2 linked regions of the Tamandua tetradactyla genome follow. The protein of the gene in region 2 purifies or fractionates together with the protein of the main gene of each other region. This does not show direct contact. Links are inferred from orthologs where the notes say so. Each region holds a gene or a part of one and is shown on either strand. Other genes may lie near its edges.

Evidence for each region. Proteins that work in one complex are often made in the same cells at the same time.
Region 1: the proteins of DUSP4 (region 2) and MAPK14 purify together in Homo sapiens (affinity purification with mass spectrometry; 3 studies listed by BioGRID and IntAct, with this or other methods). This does not show direct contact. The link is inferred for Tamandua tetradactyla from reciprocal best matches to the Homo sapiens genes DUSP4 and MAPK14.

What each region holds. Positions count from the first base shown.
Region 1 is NC_135331.1:92,713,581-92,721,685, forward strand, and holds the start of MAPK14 (mitogen-activated protein kinase 14), read left to right. Parts: upstream 1-5,057; 5' UTR 5,058-5,518; coding exon 5,519-5,634; intron 5,635-8,105. UniProt on the Homo sapiens protein: Serine/threonine kinase which acts as an essential component of the MAP kinase signal transduction pathway.
Region 2 is NC_135352.1:14,470,186-14,477,710, reverse strand, and holds the start of DUSP4 (dual specificity protein phosphatase 4), read right to left. Parts: upstream 3,003-7,525; 5' UTR 2,454-3,002; coding exon 2,033-2,453; intron 1-2,032. UniProt on the Homo sapiens protein: Regulates mitogenic signal transduction by dephosphorylating both Thr and Tyr residues on MAP kinases ERK1 and ERK2.

The DNA.
Region 1 (8,105 bases), on a different chromosome or scaffold from region 2:
TGGACTGCATGATCTCTATGCATCACTTGTAGATTTAAAAATCTATTTTGCCCTTTTTTTTTTTTTTTAAGAAAATGAGGAGGACTTAATGAGGTTGGATATAGATTCATCTCTGGGAGCAATATAAACATTCTTAATAATCTATGTTTTTGTAAAAGCACAAACTAAAATTCTTTAAAATAAATGTGAAGTACATACACATTACACAGCTATAAAATATACAGGTAAATACTCAAGTTATGTACACAAATAGTTCTTTATGGGTGAGGCTATAAGCAAGTTCAATGTACCAGTAACTTGGTTTTCCTTCAGGATGATCATATATCATCTAAACTGGGAGAAAGGAGTAACTTTAGTGTTGAGGCCACCAAAAAAAGGTTGAGGCCTATTCCTGGAGGGTCTTGAAGGCTAGGTTGAATCTGAATTTTGTTTCATAGCTATTCGAAATGCTTGAGCAGGAGGAATAGTATTATAGGGATGCAGTTTGGGAAGGTGAATCGTGTCCGTGGAATGGTCTAGAGCTGTGCTGTCCAGTATGATAGCCACTGGCCACGTGACCATTTAACTTTAACCTAATTAAAATGAAACAAAAAATTCAGTTCCTCAGTTGCACTAGCCACGTTACAAGTGCTTAGTAGCTACATGTGGTTAGTAGCTATCTTGGTGGACAGCTCAGATATAGAACATTTTCATTATCACAGAAAGTTCTATTGGAGAGCACTGGAGATAGGAGAGACTGAGGCAAAAAGATAGTTGGAGACAATAATACAGTAGTCCAGGGAAGACCTAATGAAGTCATAAGCCTGTGTGGCCACAATGAAGATGGCAAGGAGGGGCAAGTGGAAAGCTATGAAGCTGGCTTAAAAGGACCTATCAAGTGATTAGCTAAAAGCAGCGAGGGAAAACACATGATCATGATTTCCTTTAGTCATTTTTGTTTTATTCCCCTCTGGAATTTCTCCAGCTCAGTTATATCTTTTGTGATTTCATAGAAACCCTTATGGCTTGTTTGCATGCATTAGCAAGACCTTCCCGACAAGATAAGCAGACCAGAGGCTATTACCTACAAGTGGCAGATGCACTTTGGTGTGAAATTTGGCAGATGCATATTTCAGAAAAAAGAACCCAAACCACAATGATGGGATGATGATGTTTCAGCTAAGACAAGGAGGGTGTCTCTGTTAGCGACTCTTGAAAATCTCTGTCTAATGAGGCCACTGTACTCAGTGTGATCAACAGCATGCTAAAGCTTTACCCATAATCTTAAAGATCAGTGTCCACTTAGAAAACCATTCCCTGATGCTCTCTGCCATCAGACGGAATAGTTAGGTGGGTAATGCATGGGTCTCAACTACCTAAGCTTTCATTTTCTTATTCCACAAATATGATGTGTTTCCAGTATCTGGATTAACTCTTAGAAGTGAGAAATTAATCTCTGCTAATGAAACTTAGTCCCTGGACAAGTAGCATCAGTATCACTTGGGACTTTGCTAAAAATGCAAATTCATAGGCCCCTCCTAGACCCACTGAATCAGAAACTCTGAGGATGGACCCAGCAATCTGAACTTGTAAGGAGCCCTTCTGGTGATTTTGATATACATTAAGTATGAGGAATGCTATAAATATAGCCAATTATCTTAAGCCCTTCTTCCAGGGCTACATGAGCACTTTGGACTGAGCTCCTTCTCCCCCCATATTTGTCCCTTCCATCTGTCTATCCCTTCCATCCATCCCTCCATCCATTTGTTTACATAGTCTGTGTTCTGACTATTTTAAAAGTCAAGAACATAATTGAAATACTACCCAATTTTCTATTGACCCAATTCATATGAAATCCTGAAACCTAGTTCAGTTGCAAGAACATCTTTTCTCTGATATTGTCATCTATCATACATTCTCTATAATCATGGGAAGGCAATTTCATCTCCAAAATAAAAAAATAAGCATTTTTAATTCCATGTAAAACAGCTCTTGTCAGCCTAAGTTTTTATAGGAAATGTATTTGGAATATAGAAAAGGCACAGGCAAAGACCATTGTCTTTTAGTACTTTCAATGCAACTCTCTGACTAGTGACTGGCGACATAAAGAGGAATAATAAGACAGTGGCAGCAACCCTTAGGAGCTTACCATCGGACATGAAACCACTTTTAATGCAACACAATGGGTAATAGTAGTGGGTGTAGGGGCATGACACTGTTATTAGAGTAGGGTTGTTAAGAAAGCTTCAAAAGGGGGTACACTGAAGGATAAAAAAGGATCTGACAGGAAGAGAAAGGCGCAAGAGTGAGGGAGATCAGTCAGAAGAACCCAAATGAACAAAAACAGTGAGATCTGAAAGGACGCAGCGCTTCTGGGCAGGCAGGATGCAGAAAACGACTGGGGTGGAAAGGTGAGGTGCAGGAGAGGACTAATTCGGGGGCTCCTGACAATTCAGACAAGAGACTTTGAAGGGATTCCCCTTGCAAAACGCACACATCGTCTCTTGTCATTGCTATCCAACGCGGACTTCCAAAATAGAGATAATACTTCTGAAAGATAAGCTCCCATATATTCATTCATATATTGACTGAGGGTGCACGACGTGCCTGGCCTCGCCAGGGGACTTCGACTTGCAGAAAGCGACGATCCCTCGCCCACAACTTGCAGCTCCGAGCACTCGGCGTCTCTGTGCAGCCGCTTACCTGGTTCCCCGGCGAGGGCGGGTGCAGGCGCTGGGGTCCACCCAACTCAGGCCCGGCTGGCGGCGCTGCCGCGGCGGACGCCGGCGGTTCCTGAACCGTTGCCGCCGAACCCGCGGGAGTTCTGGGCGGGCGGGGGGAATGGGAGCGGGGGTGGGGATCCGCACCAGAGAGGTACCTGGGCCATACTTAATTCATTAAGTGAATTAACGAATGTGAAGCGAGGAGCATGAGGCCTGGCACAAATAGGCCTCCTATCAAGAATAGTGAAAGCTCGAGGCGATCCTAGGTTCCCATTCATTTAAGGTTTTATTCTTAATGGAGGGCTTACTTGGTGCCAGGCCTTATGCCCTTCACTTCACCTGTATTAATTCACTTAAATCCCGGGTCAGAAGAGTTTCGGACGGTAACTCACAAGCCTCCTGTCCGCACTGGAGAAAAGCACCCGCCCGGTTGCACCTGTTCTTCTGATCTGCACACACACACACACACACACACACACACACACACACACACACACGAGCGCGCAGGCACACACCCCTTCTGTACCCACCCCTTCAATCTCCCTTCCCAGTCACCATCTTTCACTATTCCTTGTATTTCTGCTTGGCCCTGTTGCAGTTTTACATTTGTTTGTCTCATTACCGTATTAATAGTTGAGTTATTATTCATTTTGTAAATTGTTTCACCTCATTTACAAAATGAGGTATCATCAGTGCCTAGAACAGTGAAGTGCACATAGTAAGCCTCAATAAAGTTGGGTTGAATGATTGAAGGACTGCCTTGCTGTTGATTGTAAATTCCATGTGGGCAGCAATGGTGTCTGATTTTTAATCATCTCTTTAATGAAAATGGCTGCCACTTAGTAGGCATTCAATATGCATTTGCTGAATGAGTGAATATATTGGTCACTTCGTCTTTACCGTTTCAATCACCCCCACTCCATCATCTCAGTTTACTGGATAAATATATGAATGTCTTAGGATTCTTACTTCCAAACCTCCCCATCGTTTCTTGCATCCACTCATCCTTTTGATGACCCACTCCCACCTTTCATTTCTCCACACTCATATTTTTGCCTTCACTCCCATTTTTACCTTCCATTACTTGTTAGAAAGTTCTTCGACCTGCAGGTTGGCCTGTTCTCAGGCAGTGTATCTTCACAGGCAAGAGAAACCAGGAGAACACAGGTTGAGTGCAAAAGCTTTTTCCTCAGATCGTCTATGACCTTGTTTTCCTGTTTTTTTGTTTGTTTGCTTTTTAATTTAGTTTTTCTTGAAGAGAACTGAGGACCCTGCACCATCTCCTAAATTGAGATCATGGCCATTTTTCATATTTTGTTAACCAATATTTGTGGAGTGCCAGGCAAAGTCTGAGCTCTCCAAAGGATGCATAACACAAAAGAGAATAATCATGAGGAGCGATGAGAAGCAGCCTGGTTTGGCCCTAGTTATGTCTAAGATAAATTCTCCTGCTCTTGTAATAATTTTGGCATAGGAACAGAACGCTAACTGGGGACAGGCATGGATTAGAATACCTTGCCCATTCACATTTATTAACCTGTTTAACTCTTACAAATGACCCGATTAGGTGGGAAGTAGGGCAGGAATTCTGTTTTGCAAAAGCTGGAACTAAGGTCTAAGAAAGGTCAATTGACTTGCCTAATGTGTTGTGGCAATGCGCTCTGTTGTCCAAACTGAGAGGCATGAATTATATGCTTAAAATCCTCTTCACTGGAACGTTCTTTAGCGTAGGAGTCAGTTTCAAACCCCGAAAAAATGCTTCTCAAAGGGAGTTGCTGGAGACTTTCCTGAATTAGATCCACCCAAGGTATATATACGGTAAAAATGATCACGTCGGACTTATTTAAACAGACTCTGGGTGGGTCCTGGGAATCTGCATTTTAAAGCAAACTTCCACAGCGATTCTTCTGCACACAAAAATTTTGGGTGGAAATTCTCAGCCTTGATATTTGCCCATAAAACAGATTTCTTCAGAATGCAGAAAAGTAAACCAAACTGTCCCTGAGCAGATGGGAATATAACTGTTTTCTGGTCAGAAACTTTCTCTTTTTTTATGCAGTTATTTCTTGGAGATCGGAGGTTCCGCTGAGCAGTCGCTCGGCTGCTGGTGCCTACACCCGTAGTCCCAAGATCTTTTGACCCTTTTCCCGACACTTTGTCCCTGTCACTTTCCAGCACCAGGCATTTCCCCCGCCGACCACAAAGAGGCGCACGTGGCAAGTACTGCCAGTCGCTCCACACCTTCCCGGTCCGCCTTCGCGCTCTTAAGCGAGACCAGACGCTGGGAGTTCTTGCCTCCCGTCTCTAGTTGTTGCTCTCGCGATAAGTGCTCTTCCCGTACTCTCTCCTTATGAGCCCCCTCCCGCGAGCATGTTCCATATTGGGTAAAATCTCGGCTCACGGAGTGTCCCGGGAGCTGTTCTCGCGAGAGTGCGGCGGGAGGCTACTGAAAGCTGGCTCTGGATCCGCTACCACAGGACCCTCAGCGGGCGCTGCAGCTGGAGCAGACATTTGGGCGTCGCTGCTTGGAGTCGGCCTGGTCGGGGAGAGGGTGCAGGGGGACTGCGGCGGGCGCAGCCTTGAGCTTTGGAGTGCGCCCTATCCTTAGTCAGGCTCGCCCGGGTTTCTGCAGCGCGTCCAGCCTCTGCGGGTGACAGGGGCCGCGCGCGCTTGTCGGTGGGGCCGCAGCAGCCGCACCTGCGCCCGCTGCCAGCGCGGGGTCCCGGCCGGGCGGGCAGTGAAGGCCGGCGAGCGGGTGCGGGCGCAGACGGGGGCCTCACTGGGCCACCTCCTCGCCTTGCGGCCGCCGCTGGAAGATGTCTCAAGAGAGGCCCACGTTCTACCGGCAGGAGCTGAACAAGACAATCTGGGAGGTGCCCGAGCGCTACCAGAACCTGTCTCCGGTGGGCTCCGGCGCGTATGGCTCGGTGTGGTGAGTATTCCCGAGCCTGAAGCCGCGTTGAGCAGGGATGGTCCCTCACGCCCAAGGGTCATGCCTACACGGCTCAGCGATGAGCCAAGCGGTAGGAATTTTCCTACGGGGAGGGCATCGCTGCGCATTTGAGTCCTTTTCTGCACCCCCTGCCCCTTACCCTGCACACCCGGGTTGGTGGTTAGCCGGATGCAGGACGCAGGTTCGCGGTGGGGTGGGGGTGGACAGAGCGGCGCCTGGAGCTCGGCCCTGGTTCCCCTGTGCGTTTCTTTTTGGAAGGCTGCTGCTCTGGGGTCTGGGACGGTGGCGGGGGTGAGGACTCTGCTGGCGTCAAGCAGAGGAACTCTTTCGGGGGTGCTCCCATCCTAGGGCGCAGGAACAGGCCCGGTGAACGAACAGCTTGGGGAGCTGCAGAGAGCAGCAGAAGGGCAAACCCGACAGGTGGACCGCAGTCATCTGAACAAAACTGACGAAGAAAGAACCCTCCCTGGGCTTTTTTTTTTGCAACCCTCTGTCGAAATCCCGTTTTGAGAAGCCTTCTTTTTGAATTCGCACTTGAATTAACAGCGACCCATAGAGCTTAAAATACTGACTTTATCTCCACCGTGCCAGCTTGAGTGGTGTGTTTCCGATTCGGTTGAAAGCGTATTTCCTCTCCGCCAAGGGGGGTGGGGTGGGGTGATAGTGCCTGCAGGAACACTGCATTTTAAGAAACAGGCCGCCTTAGTGGTTATTCACATACCATTGCTCATTTAAGTATTGTTTGACAAAAGTTTTTTCTTTTGGAGTAAGTGAGATAAAGGTCCGTTGAATGCCCTCCAGATGAAAAAGTTATTAACAGTGTTGGGAAATGTTATAAATATATTTAAGTTCGACAATTTTTGCAACTACAGGTTTTTTTTTTAAAGTTCCTTATGGAGAGTTTGCAGGAACTTATCCACATTTATGACCTGAGGTACATGATGATCTTCATAAGAATAAGGAACATACAGCAAAGGAAGAAAGAGACACTTGCAAACTCTAAATTTACAACCGGAGCGTGTTTTAAATTAAATTAATACCATAAAATTTCCAGACCTGAAATATTTCAGTAACTTCTCTTTAATTTCCAAGGATTCATTTTAGGTTTACTACGATTTCAGAGCGCCTGATCTGAAACTATCAGATTTAATTGTTAGCTTTAGTAATTCATGTCCATGGATCTTTTGAAAAAAGACCTGCAAAGTTATTTTTCTTTTTAGGAACAAATTCCAGATTTTTGAACGTGTTAATCTCTAAATATGATTCCTGTGTTCCTTAAAGCCACATCATGAATTTCCTGTTTGGTAGAATCTTCTGAGTAATTGAGATTGTGCAATTGTGAGTAACAACAGATCATATTGCGTTTCCTAGTTCAAGCTGCTTGAATTATGTTGCAGATGTCACCATCCTTTGACATCTTTCTCCCATTTTTACAGTATGGCAGTTAGCATTTTAAAATAATTTGCAGCATTTAACGTTCATTATATATATTTCTTGTTCATTTCCTAGTTTTCAAAGATGTATTTGGATCGTTGCTTCTTTAATAGCTCATAGATTTACTTCCATTTTTACATTCTTGAATTGATTCACTAATTTTTGTAGTATTGTTTTTGTTTCCAATGATGTTTAAGCTTTTAATGATGCAAAAGATTCACATTAGCTAAAGGAGTTTAGCTGAAAAGAAAGGTTTCGTTTTTGTGTGTCTCTGCAATGAAACAGGAGATTCAGATTTACGGTGAAATGTCCTTAAAATGAGCTCCAAATTTCTTTAGTACTCTACTTTGCTGGCTTATAGAAGCCACCAGTACCTGGCATCTGGAAGTAATTTTGTTAAACAGGTTTAAAAATAAGTAATACATTTACATTGTATAAAATTCAGAAGACATAAATGATACTCGGTGAAAAGTTTCTTTTCCTTTCTTGTTCCCCAGCCTCCCTGTTCCCTTCCCCAGAGATAACCACTGTTAAGTTTCTTGTGTGTCTTTCAGGGAGGCAGAGTTTTTCATTTGTTCTATTGTTTGTTCTGTCAAGGGGATTTAAGATGCAACTTAGAATATATTGGTGGGGAAAAATAAAACTGGAATTATATGAAAATTGACTATAAACAAATGTAACTGATTTTAGACTGAAAATGCCAGAATTAGTTTCATAAATGAATGCTTTCTTAGGCAGGGTAGTTACTTGAAGTTGCTCTTTTAGTTAGCAACTTTTCCAGTGTGACAGAAAAGTTTTTGGGAAATTTCTTAGAATCCACTTTGGTGCCTATGTAACTTTCTTCCATCCTCCTCCCTTGAGAGCAGATTGGATTTTAAGGACTAGTTAAAAGTCAAAATATATTCAAATAATTTAGGGGATTTGAATTGAAGACTGGTGAAAAAATTAGGCAGTTAGATTGGTGATACTGTTTTAGGTGAGATAGGAATTAAAACTGTAAAGTAATGACACATTTT
Region 2 (7,525 bases):
GCGGGGCCAAGGTCCCGGAGCTGCCGTTCTAAGGTGGGCCCCTCCAGATTGCTTTCAGGAAGAACAACAAAACAAAACAAACCCAGACTCCACGTGGGGCTAGAGGCCAGCCCTCGCCCCGCCGCAGGAAGGCTTCTCGGTTCAGTGCCCCGGAGGGAAGGCGCCCGAATCAGGCTCTACATTAAGGGGACCGGGAGCCGGGGGACAGCTCAGCGCAGAACACATCCTGGGCAGCCCCGACCCACTCTAGTGGGACTTTCCTACCCAGAGGACTTTCTCTCTCCTCTTTCCCACCAGCGCCAGCTGGTGATTGTTTGACATCTTCAAACAATAGCACAGACCACCTACGCCGGTGGTCTAACCAGTGACTTGACACCGGGGTAGCACGGCGCGGGGCTCCTCGGCACCGCTCCACGTTCGGGCGCAGGCGGGATAGACCCTTCTCCAGCGCCCAGCGCGCCCCCGGCTTAGATGCCGGTCCCTAGGGTCAAAGCCCCTTCCGGGGACTTTCTCTCAAGGCGCTCTGGGGAGGGAAGGGAGCTGGCTCAAAGGGTGGTGCAAAAGGTGGCCCTAGCGGAAAAAAGAAAGAAAAATCAGCAAAATCGCCTTAGTGGTTCAACCGAAGGTCAACAGCAGCATTTCCCCAGCAGCTGACAGGTCAAATGGTCAGGAAACAACTGCCGAGAACAAAGCCCCCCGCTGTTCGCCAGGGGCAGACCAGGCCTGTCGGCACTGAGCAGTTTTGTTGTGCTTTTTCGAGGGGGCGGTTGGGTGGGGGACGGTAGGTTTCCGTCCCCCGCTCCAGCTCCCTTCCTCTCGAGTGAACAGCTCCGATTAGGAGGGAAGGGGTTGGGGCGGGGGGGCGAGAGGCCAGGGCCGCCTTCAGGAACCGCGGCGGCTCTTTGATGACCGGGATAGAAACGCCTCTCGGGTTCGCAGGCGAGAAGCCGACTAAAGCGGAAGAATGCGCGGAATGCTGTGGCGGGAGCAAGGGGTGCAGCGCGGCAGCCCCCAGGGCCCTGCCCGCTCCCCAGCGCGAGGGGCGCCGGCCGATGGGCAAGTCCCGGCAGGTGCGGCCGCGGGCTCGGCTGCGACCGGCGCATCGTCCTTCCAGTTACTTGGATGGGACACAGTCCTTTTGGGTTGTTCCTACATCTGGATTTGACAAGACCACCCTCGGACACCTCCAAAGAGGAAAGGTCTCTCCGGGGTTCATTTAAATCAAGCAGAAACCATCAGATAATCGAGAATTATGTCAGAACAAAAGACCCTAAGACTCCGCTGGCCGGATTTACGTAACCGGAGAGGCACGGTCCCAGTCTAGCGTCCCGCACCTATGCAATCCTCCCGCCTCCGGCTCCCGGAGCCCGGGTCTAGCTAGGGTTTAGCCGGGCGCCGGGGCGGTGGGGAACTTGGCCATCTCCCAGGCGGACCTCCGAGTCGAGCATCGGGAGAAGAGATACAGATCGCTCCACACAAGGTCTGCAACCCGATCCGCGTTTCACTTAACAAGGCCTGGTTTCAAAATCGATCCGGCGGGGTCGATCCCCCTCCCCCCCGGCGCCCACACTCCTTCACCGTCCCCCACCCCCCACCCCACCTCTGGAGTTCGGGATCGGACGTAGTGTAGAGCCGGGGTAAGCCAAACAAGTAGGCCTATTCTGTCCCCACCCGCGCTGTGGTACTTGGGGGCACTTCCCAGTACTTAGCAGATGAGCCGTGCGCACGGGAGGAGCTTTCCCCTTGAGAGGCAAGAAACCGTTAGTGAGTGTAAATAATCGCGGAATCGCCAAGAAGGGTGCGGCGGGTGACGGAAGGAGCGCTCCGGTGTCGTCCGCCAAGGCTTAGGAAGCTCTCACACGCGCACAAAAACTCGCACAATCCTTGCAAGCCCGTGCACACTAACACGCACAGAGAGCGCGCGGGGGATTCCCGCAGCCACCGGTCACTCCTTCCCTCGGCCACTAAAGACGCAGGCCGACAAATCGCGCTACGTGTACACCCCAGCCCGCGCCCCGCCACCCGGGTTTACCTTTGAGCAAGCAGATGTCTGTGCGCTCGGCGTTGCGGCGCAGCGCCTGCACCACCAGCGACACGGTGCTGTCTTCTCGGAGGCTCTCGGCGCGCGGGCTGCGCTCGTCGTAGACGATAACCGCTGAGTATAGGCCGGAGCGCAGGCGGGCGCGCACCTCTTCCTCCGCGGGCAAGATCTGCTCCAGGCTCACCGAGCCTTTGGCCCGCCGCCGCACGATGGTGTTGCAGCGCACGTTGACCGAGCCTCGGATGTAGCCCGCGCTGTGCGCCAGGAACGGTCTGCAGTCCAGCAGCAGGCACTTGCCGCCGCTCAGCAGCCCCAGCGCACCGTGGCTGCCACCGCCGCCGTTCTCGTCCCGGTTCATCAGCCTTTTGAGCACGCTGCAGTCCATCTCCCGCAGCTCCTCCACCGTCACCATGGTCTCCAGGAACCGCGACTGCTGGGTGCGCGAGGAAGCCAAGGGCAGCCCGGCCAGCTGGGCTGGAGCAAGGGGCGGGCGAGGGTTAAGGAAGGACGCGTGCCGAAGTGACCACTGCCAACTTGGTCCCCGATGGCTACCGCCGGAGAACCTCTTCTCCCCAGTCCCCCTTCCTCCCGCAGTCACCAGGTTACATAGCAGTTTTAAGCGGCCTCGGGCGCCAGGCAGGACGACGCGCAGCGCAGAGGGGGAGGTGGCGTGGCAGTGCAGGGGAGAGTGTTTACAGGAGAGGGCCCAGGGCTCCCTTCTGTCGTCGCTTCTATTGTACAGCCTGTGGTGCTCCTGCTCCTGTTGCCGCCGGCGCTGCTGTGCCGGCCGCCGTTGCCTACACACCAATGAAGCTCCGCGCACTGCCCCAGCTCGAGTTTCCTCCTCTGCTTATAGATTTATTAATGCTCCTCGGCTCTCCCGAGGGAGGGAGGAGAGTCATTACTACTTCGCGAGGCCCCGCCTCTTTCCATTCTGGGCCTCGCGCTTCTACCCCACCCCCACCCCCCCATCTCTTGTCCCTCGACCTCGCGGGCCCCGCCTTCTGGCCCCCCCCCCCCCGCCTCCCCGGCGCGTGAATGGAGCGCCGACGGCTCGCGACCAGTCACGGGAACGCGACGTCACAAAGAGCGGAGTAAACAGGGAGCTCGGCGTTCTCCGCCAGGTCCATTCATAAAACCGAGACCCAGAGGAAGAGGGAGGCGGCCTCCGACCCGCCGGCGAGTGGCAGCCCCGGGACTTTGTGAATGGAACCGGGCCTCCGCGGCTCGAGCTTCCTGCCCCGGCACAAGTCGCCTTGCAACCATTCCACCCCGCGCCCTGGGCCGCGTTTGGCTCAAAGCAAACCTCCGAGAAGCCGCCCCAGCGGAGGCCAGCGGCGGAGTTTAAGGTTTCCTCTTTTTCTCTCCGCGCCTCACCTCTCCATTCCTCCCCCCGCCCCTCGCAGTGATCTCCCCAGACTGGAGAGGATCCTCTGCGCCCCAGACTTACCGTGTTGGGCCGGCCCGGCCGGGCGTCTTTTTAATGCGGCCCGCAGACGTAGGCTTCTGCATTAGTGCGATCGATTTCCATCTTAAACCATTAAATCCAGCTTGACAGCTTCCCGAGGAGCGTGGGTCAACCCCAACTTAAAAGAAGAAAGAGAAAGTCCCCCCTCTCCGAAGTCCCGGGAACAGAAGTGACGTGTGGGGTTTGTTGTTTTACAGCCCAGAGGGAGGCATTAATTGCCGGAATGTTATTCCCGGGGAGGAGGGCAGGGGTGTCACTCCCTTCCACGCTTCCTAAAGTATGTTTATTTAACCCTGATGGGGGGGGGGGGAATCGGCGTTTTAGGTTTTGGGAAAAATCCTGACCCCAGCTTGCACACGTATGAACGGTTTTCTCAGAAAATGACAATTAGGATCCACATATGGTGCGCAACTATATCCCTGTGAAATTTACACGCAAAGAATGACTTTTTTTACAAGGCTATCATAAGCTCTAGAGTCGATTCCGGTTTCTGTGCATCCATCTTTCCAGGTCATGTAGCATTTCTCCCTTTTTTTTTCTTCTTCCCCCCCGCCTCCCCCCCACAGTTTTCCTTTTGCATTTCATTTTCTCAAAAGACGCCCTTGCGCGCAAGCGGTGGGGACCCAACAGCAGCCCCCAAATTATTCGCCCGACATCTTGCCAAAACTTGTTCTAGAGAATTAACCACCGACGCAGGGGAATCACCGGGCTTGCTCGCGGCCTCGGGGACAGCGGGGTGGAGTGTCCCCATTTCAGGTAGCGCGTGGAGGACCGCAGGGTACCTCCTGTCCCCTCCTCACCCTCCGTCCTCTGCCGCCTTTGTTTGCTGCAGAGCGGCCAGCCGGAGCCCTCATCTCCGCCCCCCGGGGCCAGCCCTTTCTCTCCCCAACCCGACCCCGGGAGGAGGGGCTTCACTTCCGAGGCCTTCGACCCCGGCTCCCCTCCCCCTGCGTCCCGAAGGCACCGGCAGCCCAGCCAGGTTCGGGCTCGAGAGGGATCTTTCCTTTTTGCCTTAGACTCCCAATATGTCACCGTACACCACCGTACTGATCCTGTCTTCACTGAAACATTTCGAAATACTGTTCATCATGAATTTTCTACATTAATTTTGATTTTTAAAAACCCACTGCACCCAAATACTATTTATTCTGATTATTGACTACTTGGGGAGTCCCCTTAAATCTTGCGCCGGAGATGGGTGTTCACCTTTGTCCTAGCCCTGGAAAGAGGATCCCAACTGCGAACACCTCCAGGCGGCGGGCGGCAGTAGCCGCCCCCCCCCCTCCCCCCCCTGGCACCCAGGGTGGGAGGTCGCTGGTTAAAGGCGCACTCTCCGAAGGAAAGGGGCGGGTCCTTCTTCCGAAGGGCAAAGGAGGCTCCTAACCCGTTTCTCTTTCTGCCGGGGTGGCTGTGGGGCTCTAAGGATTCGCTCTCGCTAATGCACCCGGGGCCCGCCTTTTCAAAGAAGTCCCCTTGCAAAGAGGCCCTAACCGGCCGGGGCACTTTCGCTTCCCGGGGCCGCCCTCCCGTAGTTCTGGAACCCGGCCCCCGCCGCGCCCGCGGGCCGCCGCTCTTCCGGCCCAAAGAAACTCCGTTTGCTTTACAAGGGCTTTGACAGGACAGTTCTTGGAAGAGCCTCTCTGTTCTTGGAAGAGCCAATATCACACGTGTCGCGGGAGCCAAGGGCCGCACCGGTCGCGCTCCGCTGGCCTTTGTCTACCAGGCGCTGGGGTCTCCTCCCCGCCTCGGGATCGCGCCCTGCGCCGCACGTGGCGCATAAATAACAGCCAAATCTAGGGGGAGAAAAGTGCCCAAGGAACAAACAGTTGCTTTCTGCACTTGACTAATCCAAGGTAGCGAAGCCCCTAAAATCCCGCGGGCGATTCACACGGAAAGAGGTGCAGGCAGGCGCGTGTTGAGTGTGTGTCCACGTGCGCGTGCCCGCGCCCGTGCGCCTGCGCGCCCGCGCCCGCGTCCTAGGGGTGGGGGTGGGGGTGGGGGTGGGGGTGGGGGTGGGGGTGGGGGTAGAAGCCACCACTTAGGACTTAATGTAGTTTGTCAAGCTCAGATCCGCTTTAATCGCGAATGCGAATTCCTGGTTTATCAAGGAAGCTACTGTAAAAAAAAAAGGATTTTTCCCCAAATTCAGGAATTGGCATTCAATTGTTTGACTCTCACCAAGTAAGAGTTAAATTATCTTATTGTATTTATCCGAATACTAATAAAACTCACTGTTGTGTGTGTGTGTGTGTGTGTGTGTGTGTGTGTGTGTGTGTGTGTGGAGAGAGAGAGAGAGAGAACGTGTATGCGTGTATTCCAGGCTTGTGGGCCATTTGGCCCCCAGTTAAATCAATACAATGTGAGGACTTATCGGTTACCCGCAGGGTTGATAAAAATTGTCTTCAGTGAGTCCGCAGGCTGCGGGTGGGAAGCAATCGGTTTACACAGGAACCTTTTGAAATAACTTGTCACTGAGTAGATGTTGGAGAAAACAAAGGCATTTGATAGGAAAACGTTATTTGCACGTCATTTCAAGTTAATTTAATTAACGAAGGCATAGCTGCAGGAATCGGGAAGGGATTGTCCAAGGGGAGGTATTTTATTTATATTCTGCAGTAAAGCTTGGGGTAAAAATACTTTTAAAATTCACTGTGGCATGGAAATCGGGCTTGTCTTTCATCAGACAGTCCTTAAACTGACCTTATTAGTCACTGTCAGGCTCCAGCAAAACCGCTGCTCCTGTTTTAAGAACATTTCTTTCCAATTAGGAAGTTGTGTGATCTGGGAATTTAAAGCCCAGAGTAGACTCCCCAGGGGAGTATGGCTTCTATTCTGGTTTTGGTGCCCATCTCTGACTCACTGCCCTGTCCCACAGTGCCTGCCTGCATAAGACTTGCCTGAAAAATCATTAATGGATTAATCAAGGTGGTGATGGAAAGAAAGTCCTGTGGATTCCCTTTCTTGAACAAAGAGGGAGTCTTGCTTATTACTATGAACTGGAGCAGGAACAAACCATTTTAGCTGTTCTTTGTAAGCTTGGCTTTTTCAGATCAGCTGATTGGGGGAATTTCCCCTCTGGTAGTGGGAATATGTTAAAAACAAACAAACAGGGAGGCCATCTCTTGCTATTCAAAACGGAGTATATATATATATATCTGTATCTACACAGTGTGCTCGTGGGAAACTTGTATAAGTGGAATTGAGAAATTCCCCTTCTCCCAGCCCACTTAGGCTTATCGTCAGGATGACAAAAAGGGATGAAAAGTCTTCACCGTATAGATTGAACATCACTAGAAAACTCAAAAACAGCTTAGAGGGTTTTCAGTCCTAATGTTGTCACAGATGTGTTCTGTGGCCTCCATTTATTTTCTATGTAATGTCCAATAGCATTTTCTAATTACTTAGAATGTTTGATTTGTAACCCAAGGTTTCTGCAGAAGGGTTTTAATGCATTGCTTCGTTTACTATTTTTTTAAAACTACTCTTCTTGCTCATTTCTGTCCTTTGGAATATAAACTCGTAGGTTTTTATTTGTATAAGTGCTGATATCTCATGCATCTTTGTTTTTTGTATGCTGTATGCATGTATTTCATTCTTTTTCATGTGAGTAGACTGTTATTGCAGCACCATTTGTTGAATTTTTGTTTGTTTGTGTTTTCTTTTGTTTTACTTGTTTGTTTGTTTTGGGGAAGTGCATGGGCAGGGAACTGAACCTGGGTCTCCCACGTGGCAAGTGAGAATCCTACCACTGAACTACCCTTGCACCCCTATTGCATGCATTTTGATAAAACCTCTTTGGGTTTTCAAAAACAAATTTTGGAAACAAACTCTTCTCCCAGTAGAAGATAAAATGAACTTTAGACTTTTCTTTCTGGGTGACGCTAGCTGCAAATAGTCTCACATTCATTCATTCATTCAATAAACAAGCTACACTCGGTGGGGAAACAGCCTCAAGCACTGACTATAGCTTCAAAGAGGTTATAATCTAGTCACCCTAGTCAGAGTATGATTGCTAC